Linked DNA regions of Danio rerio. The protein of the gene in region 1 purifies or fractionates together with the protein of each later gene. This does not show direct contact. Links are inferred from orthologs where the notes say so. Each region holds a gene or a part of one and is shown on either strand. Other genes may lie near its edges.

Region 1 (6,292 bases):
ACGCTCTCCGGTCTGTTCTCCACTCCTCCTCGTCTGTTCTCCCTGTCACACACTGAAAGGCGCGCGCCCGCACGCTCGCTCGCGGAGGCTGAGGCAGGGCTCGCGTTTCCCAGACCAAAGAGACTCCCTGACTCCTCACACCTATGATGAGCCACTGAACTTCAGCGCGCGATTCTGTCATACATGCTGATGCTGATGCTGATGCTGCTTACTGCGCCATGGGAGAGAATATATAGAGTAATCATTTTGTGCTGCCATCTGTGTCTTAGTAGCCTACTAAGTCAATTCTGTAATTCTGTTTTACAGATAACAGCCTAATAGAACAGAAAGGGATGTTGTTTGTGCTGATTTGATCAATATTATGGACTTTAAGGGATATTTCATCATCCAATCTTGAAAATCCTGTCATCATTTATTAATTCATTTTCTTTTCGGCTTAGTCCCTTTATCAATCAGGGGTCGCCACAGCACAATGAACCGCCGACTTGTCCAGCATGTTTTACGCAACGGATGCCCTTCCAGTTTCTTTTTTTATACACCTTTAAAATGTTATTTTAAAAAAATGTTGAAAATCTGTATGGCTGATTAGCACTGTCTTTGTTTCCCAGTACTGGGTTGCAGCTGGAAAACATATGCCAGAATAGTTGGCAGTTCATTTCCCTGTGGCGACCCCCCAATAAATCAGGGACTAAGCCAAAGAAAAATGAATGAATGAATAAAAAACCTGTAACAACTGAGTTCCATATTTTTTTCTAAAGTTTCCAGGTTTCTACCATTATTTTACAAATCCTCTTTTGTGTTCAACAGAAAAGGATATAAAAGCAGGGTGGGTAAATTTACATTTTTGGCTGAACTACATTGTGTCAATGTAATAAGGTCAGATCAGCTAAAAAAAAACAGACAAAAAAAACAACTGAAATAAATTAATAGGAAAAGTTTATGAGAGGGAGTGGGTAATGCTGTTGCCTCACAGCTAGAAGGTAGCAGGTTCAAGTCTCAGCTGAGTCAGTTGCCATTTCTGTGTGGAGTTTGCATTTTCTCCCCGTGTTAGCATGGGTTTCCTCCGGGTGCTCCTGTTCCACCCACAAGTCCAAAGACATGCGCAATAAGTGAATTGGGTAAGTTAAAAATGTGTGTATGTGCGTGAATGAGTGTGTATGGGTGTTTCCCAGTGTTGGGTTGCAGCTTGAAGGGCATTCGCTGCGTAAAAAAATATTTTGGATAACTTGACAGTTCATTCTGCTATGGTAACCCATGATTAATAAAGGGACTAAGCCGAAAAGAAAATGCATGAATGAATGAAGTTTATGAATAATTTAACTTATGTGCATTTGTCTGGAGGAGTTTTATTAAATTCTTAGTATTAAAACCTGTTAGTCTTTTGTGCTACTATACTGTTCCTTTCTTCATTAGAGGGGTTTAAAATAATGTATGCCAATAACCTCAAACATGGTGGCACAGTGGCTTGGTGTTAAACACTGTCACAACACAGCAAGAAGCAAGGTTTGAGCCCCAGCTGGCTGGGTAAGTTGGTGTTTCTGTGTGGAGATTGCATGTTCTCCCCATGTTCGCATAGGTTTCCTCCGGGTGCTCTGGTTTCCTCCTTGGACCAAAGGCATGCGCTATAGGTGAATTCAATAAACTAAATTGGCCGTAGTGTTTGTGTGTGAATGAGTGTGAGTTTCCCAGTAACACCCATACACTCTTATTCACACACATACACTACAGACAATTTAGTTTATTCAATTTATCTATACGTGTCTTTGGACTTCTATACATATAATATAATAACCAAACCCCAAAAGTATATGCACTTTTCTTTTTCTATCTTATAGTTTGAAGATTTGTATTGGAATGAGCTAATGTAAATTGGGCCAAGAAAACAACACATTGTGCTGCAGTGGGTAGCGCTGTTGCCTTGCAGCAAAAAGGTCGCTGGTTCGAGCCTCGGCTGCATGGGTCATTTGGCATTCCCCGTGTTTACGTGGGTTTCTTCTGGGTGCTCTGGTTTCCCCCACAGTCAAGACATGCGCTATAGGTGAATTGGGTAAGCAAAATTGTCAGTGAGTGAATGTGAGAGTGTATGGGTGATTCCCAGTGATGGGTTGCAGCTGGAAGGGCATCCACTGCGTAAAACATATGCTGGATAAGTTGGTGGTTCATTCCAATGTGGCGACCCCAGATTAATAAAGGGATCTGAAAATAAAATGAATGAAGGAATAAATAGAATCGAATGTGGAGGACTAGTATAAATAAAATATATTAATGAGATGATATTCCTTCTAGAAACACGTTATTTTAAAGTAAAAATTCAGAAGAAACAAACTTTTTTTCTTTTTACTGAGTTAAATTTTTTTAAAGCCTATTAGGAGATAGTAGGCATGTAATTAAAGTTATGTAAAATTCATCTCCATACTGGTGGGCACGACTGCAGGGTCCCTCTGCTGGGTCGGCCCCCGCCTGTGCACTGACGACAGTGGGGCAAAAGAGAGAAAGCGAGAGGCAGACGTCAGAGAGAGGGATATGCAGCCCGCCATACAGAAGTGTATGGGGCAGTGGATGTAAATAAACCGTGTACAGTATCCATACTTTACTTATTCCCACCCCCTTTTGCCTAAGAGACGGGCTTGGATAATGATCGGGGTAAAAAGATTATGGGGGCCACTCAAAATTAAACTGATTACGTCCGAAATCTGATAACGTAAGGGGCCTTCTGAAAATCTCATTCATCTTTGGGAATCGCAAAGTCCTCGTAGCGGCACGACAGAAGACACCGCAGGAAAAAGGAAGGAGAGAAAGAGAGAGAGAAGGGTGAGGACCGGGAGCACTGGAGAGCTCGTCGCCGGCTTCCGGACATTTCGGGGCGGCATTAAAATCGCAGACGTCGCTCCTGGAGGGAAGGAAAACCAGATATCTTCAGCACTGGACTAAAATTTCTGGAAGCAGCAGCTTTTGATTCAGCGATGTCCAGGAAAGTCCAGAGAAGCGAGGTGTGCGCCGACTGCAGTGCACCAGGTAAGGCTGAGATTTATGGATCAATGCGTTGTTGTGAGCCATGGCTGTCCGGGACTCGCCTGACCGCGGCGGATTGCGGAGGAGTACCAAGCCCGCGTATGCGAAGGGATACTGGGTTAAGCGCGCCAGGAAAAATGCCTAAAATTAAGGCCGATTCTGCGGCCCAACAAATCAGATTTTAAACGCACTCTTAACTTATATGTATCTTTGTAATGCGGTTGAACAGTGGTTGTTCAAGAAGTACAATCTTTTAGTGTATTCACAAAACTTGCATGACTTTAAATTTGGACTGCTTATTCCTGCTTTGCTGCCGTGGCTAAAGTTTTACCCCTTCTCGTTGTTAGCACCCATCCCAAGTTAAGTTGACAAGCCTGCGAGGTGCTGTCAATTAAAATGACCATATTTACTCCACACTTAGATTTGTTTATATGCAGATATTGTAGCGACAGCTTACTATATATTTAAATTGTGTTTTAGTAAATACTCCGCACTGAAAGCTCTATATATCGAACAATGCTAACTGTCAGTAGGCTAGGCTTGGTTGCTAAGTAGCCTGCGGACTCTCATTTGAGTCTCTTCCCAGTTTTAAGTAAAACACGTTTGTGTATTTAGAATCAGTTTTTATGACTGCAAGAGGTCCTACTTAAACATATTCGGTACATTTTTTGCGAATTTAGTTAGTATGAACATGGGTTGAGAATAGATAGATAGCTAACTAGCGCTAGCAGGTTGACAGGACACATCTAACGTTAACTCTGACGTGGGTCAGTGTTCGCTTCTGTTTGCTCTTGTCCACTGAATTGCTTCTAGATAACGGTTGTGTTTGTTATTCTTTATAATAAAATTAATAGTGGTTTAAAATATTATTAGACAAACTGTTTTTGTAGTTACCGCATGGTAACGTTAACCTTAAATTAACGATATGCTACATTAACCGTAGTTTAACTTTGGTTTGACAAATTGTAGTCAATGCACTAAAACATGTGTAATAGACTTTTATTATAGAAAAACTATGAATAATTTGATAGTATGTTGAGTTAACTGATAGTATTGCATTTAAATGCTGGAAAAAATGCTTAAATCTGGTCTTTATTTTACTGGTCTTAGTTGGTCTCCCAGTATGGCCAAGCTGTTGTGTAGCTGGTCTCCAAGCTGGTCTCTCAGCATGACCAGCTTAAAAAGTCCCTAAAAACCCACCTAAAACTAGCCAACAGACCAGTTTGACCACTTGGACACCACCTAAAAGCTTTAAACCAGCTTAAACTGTTTTTAGCACAACTGCCATTTAAAACGTATCGCTACATATTTCCATATTTCTGTAATAATTATGAGCAGTGGGTGAAATCTATCAGCGGTAATATACAAATTTAAGATGTTTTTAGATTTTTTTCTTTTCAAAGTTACTAAATGGGTTTGTCCTAAATAGAGCATAGGTTTAAATTATTTATAGCCATTTCTAGTTCCATCATGCATGCCTTAAGACACAATTTCCTGAAACCAGGGTCAACTTCCCTCTTTTTCCCTATAGCATTTTTATTTTAAATAAATAGGAACTATGTCGTTCTCAGCCATTTGTCCTCAAATGCATTGCTCAATAAATTACCAACAAGCTTAAACCAACCAAATAAAGACACAAGACCGCCTTCAGTTGTTTACAAAACATGTTTTAAATGCTGCTCAGCTGTGCCGTCACTTCAAGCCCACCCTTGGCCTTGCTCATTTAGTCTCACCGTCCCCATGGGGGGACCGAGGGGTGGTACGGGGGGCATGACAGCTGCTCTCTCATCCACAGCTGCTCTCTGCTCTCCACAAATGTACAAGTGTGTCTTGTTTTTGACAGTTTAGTTCTGTTTCACCTCTTTGGCTACCTGCAGTCTTGCTGTGAGCTCGACCAAAAGCTGTCACCGATGCCTGTGGGTTCAGTTATCAACAAAAATCCCCACCGATAGTAGTCATACAGTGCAAGAGCCAACATATTTATGGCAAGAGCGGTTTCTAGAAACAAAAATCACTGACAACATGTGCATGCATGTTTTTTTTTTATTACACTATGTTAAACCTAGCAGCAAATTGATTTGAGATTAGTTTAAGCTGTTAATGTTTACAAATGTCATTGATAATAACAATAATTAAAGCACAATCGATTTTTACGTTTTGAAGTATGTCATCTCAATGCATGTCTTCATCTGAATTTATCTGTTAGTGTGTGTGTAATTAAGTTCAATACTATTTTACATGGTGTTCTGTTGATTTATAGTTTGTTATTCAGTATTAATTTGAAGGTTTATCGTTTAATTAATAATTTATCAGTAAGTATGGTCTATCTAGCTATCGGTTTTAACAAAATCCAACATCGATTGACCTCTACTACTGCAGTGCACTAGAGCTTGTCATTTTCGTGTTTAACATGTTGTTGGAATGTAGATAATGGTAAGTGTGTTGAAGGCAAGTAACTGATGACTGAGAAAGGAAGAGGAGGAGGAGGTGGAGGGATGGTGGGCAGACAGACGGATGTATTCTGGTAAATGTGTTATTGGAATGAATGAATGTGGGGAAGATTGTCAATTGCATGGTCACTGAGGGCTGAATGACGCCCTGTGTGAAGAGTCTGTGTGTGTGTGTTAGCGAGTGGTGTGTAATTTCATTAGATGCGAAGAGAAACTCGGGTTTGAAGATGCTTCTGTTAATGTTATGAAGCACTTTTAGAAAGGATGAGGGTGTAAGTTGGCATCATCTTTGATTTTTCCCACACACAGGTGCTTGGCTTCGTTTCTGTTAATGTTCATATTTAGACCAATAAACAAGTTTATGGCACTGATTTATTTTTAATTAAGCCCAAAAATATTAGGTTCTTCTCTGCATGCTAGAATTTTTTTGGCTGTAAAATGAACATTTGCTGGATTTAAATAAGCCTTTCCTTCAGTAAAAAAAAACTGTCATCTTCAAAAATCCATTTTAATTTTTGATGAATGTGGGAGTTTAGTTCACATGAATAAAATAAATGCCTTTAGAAGTGAATAGACTTTTTTAAGAAGTCATTTTTCACCGGTTTCCGACAGCGAGTTAAGTTAAAATGTAGAACATGTAAAGCTAAGCTGATAATTGTGGAAAACAGAAATCCAAGTGATGGAGCCGAATAAAATAAATTCTGAGGCTAATTTATTCTTCTGTGGCCACTTTGCAGCCACATCTGATCTCTGGTTAAGTAGGACGGTGGACTCGTTCTTGAGCCTTATTTTGCACTTTATTGACGATGATTGGAAGCTGCGCCAGAGAT
Region 2 (6,248 bases), on another chromosome or scaffold:
ATAGTGGGCACTTATGATCCATATGTTGCACTTATATTTGTTTTTTAGTCATTTAAAACCAGTTAAAAGCTGTCAGAGCTCCAATTGGCGGTATTTCCATCGATTTTGTGGATATTCTTCGACAATTGAATCATTGGTAGACCCACATCGCAGATTTCCAGATTGTTTTAGCCTACTATTGATTCTATTTATTTACTTGTGTAAATGTGTGTGTACAGTTGAAGTCCGAATTATCACCCCTTCTGTTTATTTTTTTTCCTTAATTTCTGTTTAACGGAGAGCAGATGTTTTCAACACATTTCTAAACATAATAATTTTAATAACTCATCTCTAATAACTGATTTACTTTATTTTTGCCATGATGACAGTAAATAATATTCGACTAGATATTTTTCAAGACACTTCTACACAGCTTAAAGGGACATTTAAAGGCTTAACTAGGTTAATTAGGTTAACTAGGCAGGTTAGGGTAATTAGGCAAGTTATTCTATAACGATGATTTGTGCTGTAGACTATTGAAAAAATATATAGCTTAAAGAGGCTAATAATTTTGTCCCTAAAATGGTGTTTAAAAAATTAAAAACTGCTTTTATTCTAGCCGAAATAAAACAAATAAGACTTTCTCCAGAAGAATAAATATTATCAAACATACTGTGAAAATTTCCTTGCTCTGTTAAACATCATTTGGGAAATATTAAAAAAATTCAAAAGGGGACTAATAATTCTGACTTTAACTGTATATAAATATATATTTAAGTGTTTATATTAATTTCAGTAGCATTATAGAATATTATTTTATTTTTCCTGAACTGTGATCATGATTACATTTAAGCTAAAGCACAGATGAGCGCTAAGCTCTCTCTGTATGTGATTTATTATTATTTTTCTCTTCAGATCACTGCTCTATGCTGTGGAGTATTGAGACCGGGAAGTGTCTACTAAAATACGCTGGTCACGCTGGATCAGGTATGAAACTTTTCACCAGTACACAGACTGTCAACATTTCTGCCTTTAACACTTTACAAAAGTGTTAATTTTGTGAACCTGCATTTGAAAGTGATTATTTTCAGGGTTTTACGAGCTGTAGGATTGGTGATTGTTGTGTACAGTGAATGTTTACGGTCTGTTTTTGCAGTGAACTCCATTAAGTTCCATCCCACAGAGCAGATGGCGCTTACAGGTATACACAAAAACTTTTTAATGGTTTGCTTTTTTTTACACAATGTCTTATATTTCTGTGTCTTGTTTATTAATATATGTTGGTGAAAAACGAATCAATATGTATTTTTATTAAAATGATCAATTGACAATAACAATTTCCACAGTATAGAATATATAATCCAGCAACTGGATTGTAAAGAACGCCTATTTCATTTATATCACAGATCAGTAATATTCGTCTGTCTATCTGTAAATGGTTAAAATTGAAGGAGAAGAATATGCTTAAATCTAATGAAATAAAAATGTCGGATTTTTAATTCAGAAAAATCTCAATTGTCTGAATTTTAAATTAAGATTTTTAAAATATTTTTAAAAATAAATGCAACTTAATTTCTATAATTTCGCTGGTTTAAATCCAAGCTCAGTTGCCATTTCTGCGTGGAGTTTGCATGTTCTCCCCGTGTTCTTCAGGTGCTCTGGTGTTCCCCACAGTCCAAACTAGAGATCTGCGCAGCACTAAATTTTGAATCCCGCTCCCGCCAGGTTTTAGCCCTAACCCGACCGCTCCCGCTTATATTTAGCATTTGTTGTCCCTCTGCCCAACCCGCCCCGTTTTCTACCCGTTGCGCCCATTTTCGCTAACGGACGAGGGGGAGAACAAAAGCGAAAACCCCCCAGCTATACAGAGTCCAGACAGCCTATAACAAACTATAACACACACACAAGCACCAAGCAAGTGACACACACACAGACAGCATCACGCTCTTTCTCTCATTCACGCATTCACGCATAAACACACACACAGCACAAAGCTCTCTCTTTCATATACACACACACACACACACACACACACACACACACACACACACACACAGCAAGAAACAAGCTAAGCGCAGCATCAGGCTGTCTCATTCACACACATACATACATACGCGTGCTTGCTCGCTCAGGAGTCAGGAGTGATATTGTTAGACCGCGAGCTTCTGTACAAAATTAAACCAGTTACCGACCGCTCCTGCGCTTCTTTCGGAAATTTATCTCCGCACCGCAAGAAATCTAGTCGGCCGTAGTGTACGAGTGTGAATGCGAGTGTATGGGTGTTTCCCAGTACTGGGTTGCGGCTGAAAAGGCATCAGCTGTGTAAAACATGCTGGATAAGTTGGCGGTTCATTCCACTGTGGCGACCCCTAATGAATAAAGGGACTAAGCCGAAGTGAAATAAATGAATAAATAATAATAACAAATGTTATAAAAATATTGTGAAAATGCCTTTGCTGTGTTGAACGGTGCTCGGGATAGATTTAAAAACATATTACAATTTCACAAGAGAGCTTTTAATATTGCCTTCAACTGTGTGTGATTGTCTGCTGATCTCTCATGATGCTGCTAATGAGGAGTTATTTCATGACTGAGGGCTGTACTGCATTAAGACTGAGATGTTTCTCTCTTTCATATAGATTTGTATTTCCCAGATGCTTTTAAATGTGATTTGATCAATGGCTGTGCTTTTTTCTTTTTGCTAATGTTGCCTCTGTGTTTGTTTTGTCTGTTCCTGACAGCGTCCGGGGACCAGACGGCTCACATCTGGCGTTACATGGTACAACTGCCACTTCCACAGCCTCCAGCAGACATCAGCGTGAGTATTAAACACACACGCACACACAAACACCCACAGAGACATGCGTACACACACGCGCATGCAGACGCAGACAGATACACTTAGACGCATATGACACACGTGTACAGACAAACATACACACAAAGGCAGACAGATGCGTACACAAATGCATACAGTACACACAAACGCAGTACACACAAACTAATTAGTTAACAGTAAGTGTAATATTAGTAATAATAAATATACAATTTAGTAATACTAAAATGTTCTGTGTAATAAAACGAAACAGGTAAAAAGTATTGAACACATGAAGGGAGGTGTGGAAATGCATGGAAAGCCCAGACAGCAGCTGAAATCTCTCAGTAGTTCTTCAGTAACCCTCTGCTTTTCCTCAGTGTAAATGAATATCAGCTGCTTCAGTCCAACATCTACATTAGCAGGATGATGGAGATGAAACCAGGGTGGACATTTCAGCAAAACAATGATCCATAACCAAGTAGACTTTCAAATGCTTTCAGAGAAAGAAAATCAAGCTGTAGAATGGCCCAGCCAATCATCTGACCTAAATCCAATACAGAATCTCAGATTTGATAGACGAGACCCACAGAACCATTCATTCATTTTCTTGTCGGCTTAGTCCCTTTATAAATCCGGGGTCGCCACAGCGGAATGAACCGCCAACTTATCCAGCAAGTTTTTACGCAGTGGATGCCCTTCCAGCCGCAACCCATTCCTGGGAAACATCCACACACACTCATACACTACGGAAAATTTAGCCTACCCAATTCACCTGTACCACATATCTTTGGACTGTGGGGGAAACCGGAGCACCCGGAGGAAACCCACACGAACGCAGGCAGAACATGCAAACTCCACACAGAAACGCCTACTGAGCCGAGGCTGGAACCAGCGACCTTCTTGCTGTGAGGCGACAGCACTACCTACTGCGCCACTGCTTCACCCACCCACAGAACCATATGTATAATATTGTGAAGCATCCTATAGAAAATAATATGAATGTAAAAGCGAGATCTGTAAAGGGTGTACTCATTTATCCTGTGCACTGTAAACCCTTTAATTATAGAAAAGTGTTTTATTTTTTATGAAATGTTTGTCAATTTGATCAGTTTTTCTGGTCATAATAACAGCTGGAGATGCTGAAATGGTAATGAAATCAAATTACCTCAAACATTTGCTCTTGTCATTTCCTGTGCGACTCAGGCCTCGCTGGACGATGACGTGGATTTCTCTGATAAAGACGAGGCAGACGGCGACGCTGATGGACCCAATGAATGCCCCACCATCCGCGTGGCCACAACCACCTTGAAGAGCCACCAAGGCGTGGTGATCGCCGCTGATTGGCTGGTGGGAGGAAAGCAGGTGGTCACTGCGTCCTGGGACAGAGCCGCAAACCTGTACGATGTGGAGACCTCGGAGCTGGTGCACACCCTGACAGGTGAACATGAGGAGAAATAAATCAACATTTACTAATGTGTTTAAGGAGAGTTATTATGGATATTTTAATTCATTCATTCATTTTTCTTTGGCTTAGTCCCTTATTTATCAGGGGTCGCCACAGTGGAATGAACCACCAACTATTCCAGCATATGTTTTACACAGTGTATGTCCTTCCAGCTGTAACACCCATACACACTCATACACACATTTTAGTTCACCAATTCCCCTATAGCGTATGTGTTTGAACTGTGGGGGAAACCGGAGCACCCAGAGGAAACCCATGCCAACATGGGGAGAACATGCAAACTTCACACAGAAATTCTAACTGACCCAGCCGGGACTCAAACCAGTGATCTTGCTGTGAGGCGACCACTGAGCCACCAGTTTTTAATATTTGTTGTTTTTTATTTCTTATACTCGTTTCTTTTATTCTTGTTCATGTAAACCACTTTGAATTACCATTGTGTGTGAAATGTGCAATATAAATAAAGTTGCCTTGTTTATTATTTGTTAAACCCTCAACTACAACTCAGTTGTATTGTATCAACCTCTACCCCAGCTCTAACCCTCACCATTACCTGTTTGTGTGTGTTTGCAGGTCACGATCAGGAGTTGACCCACTGCTGCACTCATCCGACTCAGCGTCTGGTGGTCACTTCATCCAGAGACACCACCTTCCGCCTGTGGGACTTCAGAGATCCCTCCATCCACTCAGTCAATGTCTTCCAGGGCCACACCGAGTGAGTCACATCATCTTATTGACCGTCGACATATAAACAACCTGCCAAAATGAACATTTGGTGTCACTTTAAATTACTGTATGCTTGTAAAATATTAATATTAGAGTAAATTAAAGTGCTTTTTATAGAAATAATATGGTATAATATTTTTTAATATGACATAATAATATAATAACAACAACAATAATAAATATTATTATTATATTTTAATAAATATTATATATTTATTAAATAAATACATATTTTTGTATTAGACCATAGATAAAGTTATGAATATTTTTTCAAAATGTTTTCCATAGTCATATTTTAATAACATTTTCAGTTCTTAAAGTGTTATGATTTTATTATTTAAACATACTTTAAAAAAAATGAATGAATTAAGATATTAAAATTACAACGCCAAACACAATGTGATAAAAAATCAATGCATCCTAAAATATTATTTTAAAATTTTGTATATATTATATTATGTATTATTATTACCATAATAATAAAAAAGTTGTAATAAATATCTGTTAATTGATACATTTTATGACGTTTTTTACAAGCTTTTTGATTACTAAAATTAGTTTTAAAAATTAAAATGCATCAACAGAATAGTAATTTTAGATCATTTTTATATTTATTGTTGTCTGTAGCACATTTATACAAATTAAGCAAAATATGATACGTTTGTCATGATGGTGATTAGAAATATGTTTTGGGTGATGCATATCGGCGCCGTTATAGTAATTAAAATTGCTCAGATCATTTTTGTGAAATAAAATATTGGAATATTTATTAAAATGTTGTGAATAATATTGAAAATATTTGTGAAATATAACATTTGCAAACTTAACAAAAAATGAAAAAAAATGTATGAATTAAAACAAATAATGAATTAAAAGCTAAATTACTACTATTATTACTATTTTTATATTTTATTATTACAATATTTTTAAATGAAAAATACATATTTCTTTTGTTAATTGTTAATGTATTAATTTTAATAATTATTACAATGTTGTTGTTATTATTATTATTATTATTATTATTATTATTATAACATTTTAAATATAAAATTTTTATTTTTTTAATTGTTCTTTATTAATTTTATAAATTACTACAACGTATAATAATACCAACAACAACAATAATAATAACAATAATATAAATAGTAGTAGTAGTAGTAGTAGTAATAATAATAATAACAACAACAATAATAATCGTAGAAATAGTAATAGCAATAATATTTTTTTATTGTTAATGTATTAAATAAAAAATATTTAATA

Evidence for each region.
Region 2: the proteins of git1 (region 1) and nck1b purify together in Homo sapiens (affinity purification with mass spectrometry; 4 studies listed by BioGRID and IntAct, with this or other methods). This does not show direct contact. The link is inferred for Danio rerio from reciprocal best matches to the Homo sapiens genes GIT1 and NCK1.

Annotation. Positions count from the first base shown.
Region 1 is NC_133190.1:30,983,722-30,990,013, reverse strand, and holds the start of git1 (ARF GTPase-activating protein GIT1), read left to right. Parts: upstream 1-2,511; 5' UTR 2,512-2,963; coding exon 2,964-3,015; intron 3,016-6,292. UniProt on the Homo sapiens protein: GTPase-activating protein for ADP ribosylation factor family members, including ARF1.
Region 2 is NC_133199.1:3,691,654-3,697,901, forward strand, and holds the start of nck1b (SH2/SH3 adapter protein Nck1), read right to left. Parts: upstream 4,001-6,248; 5' UTR 3,963-4,000; intron 2,798-3,962; coding exon of another isoform or gene 2,721-2,797; intron 1,181-2,720; coding exon of another isoform or gene 1,136-1,180; intron 967-1,135; coding exon of another isoform or gene 895-966; intron 1-894. Other genes in the region: wdr37 (WD repeat-containing protein 37), read left to right, coding at 895-966, 1,136-1,180, 2,721-2,797, 4,001-4,235, 4,836-4,977. UniProt on the Homo sapiens protein: Adapter protein which associates with tyrosine-phosphorylated growth factor receptors, such as KDR and PDGFRB, or their cellular substrates. Maintains low levels of EIF2S1 phosphorylation by promoting its dephosphorylation by PP1.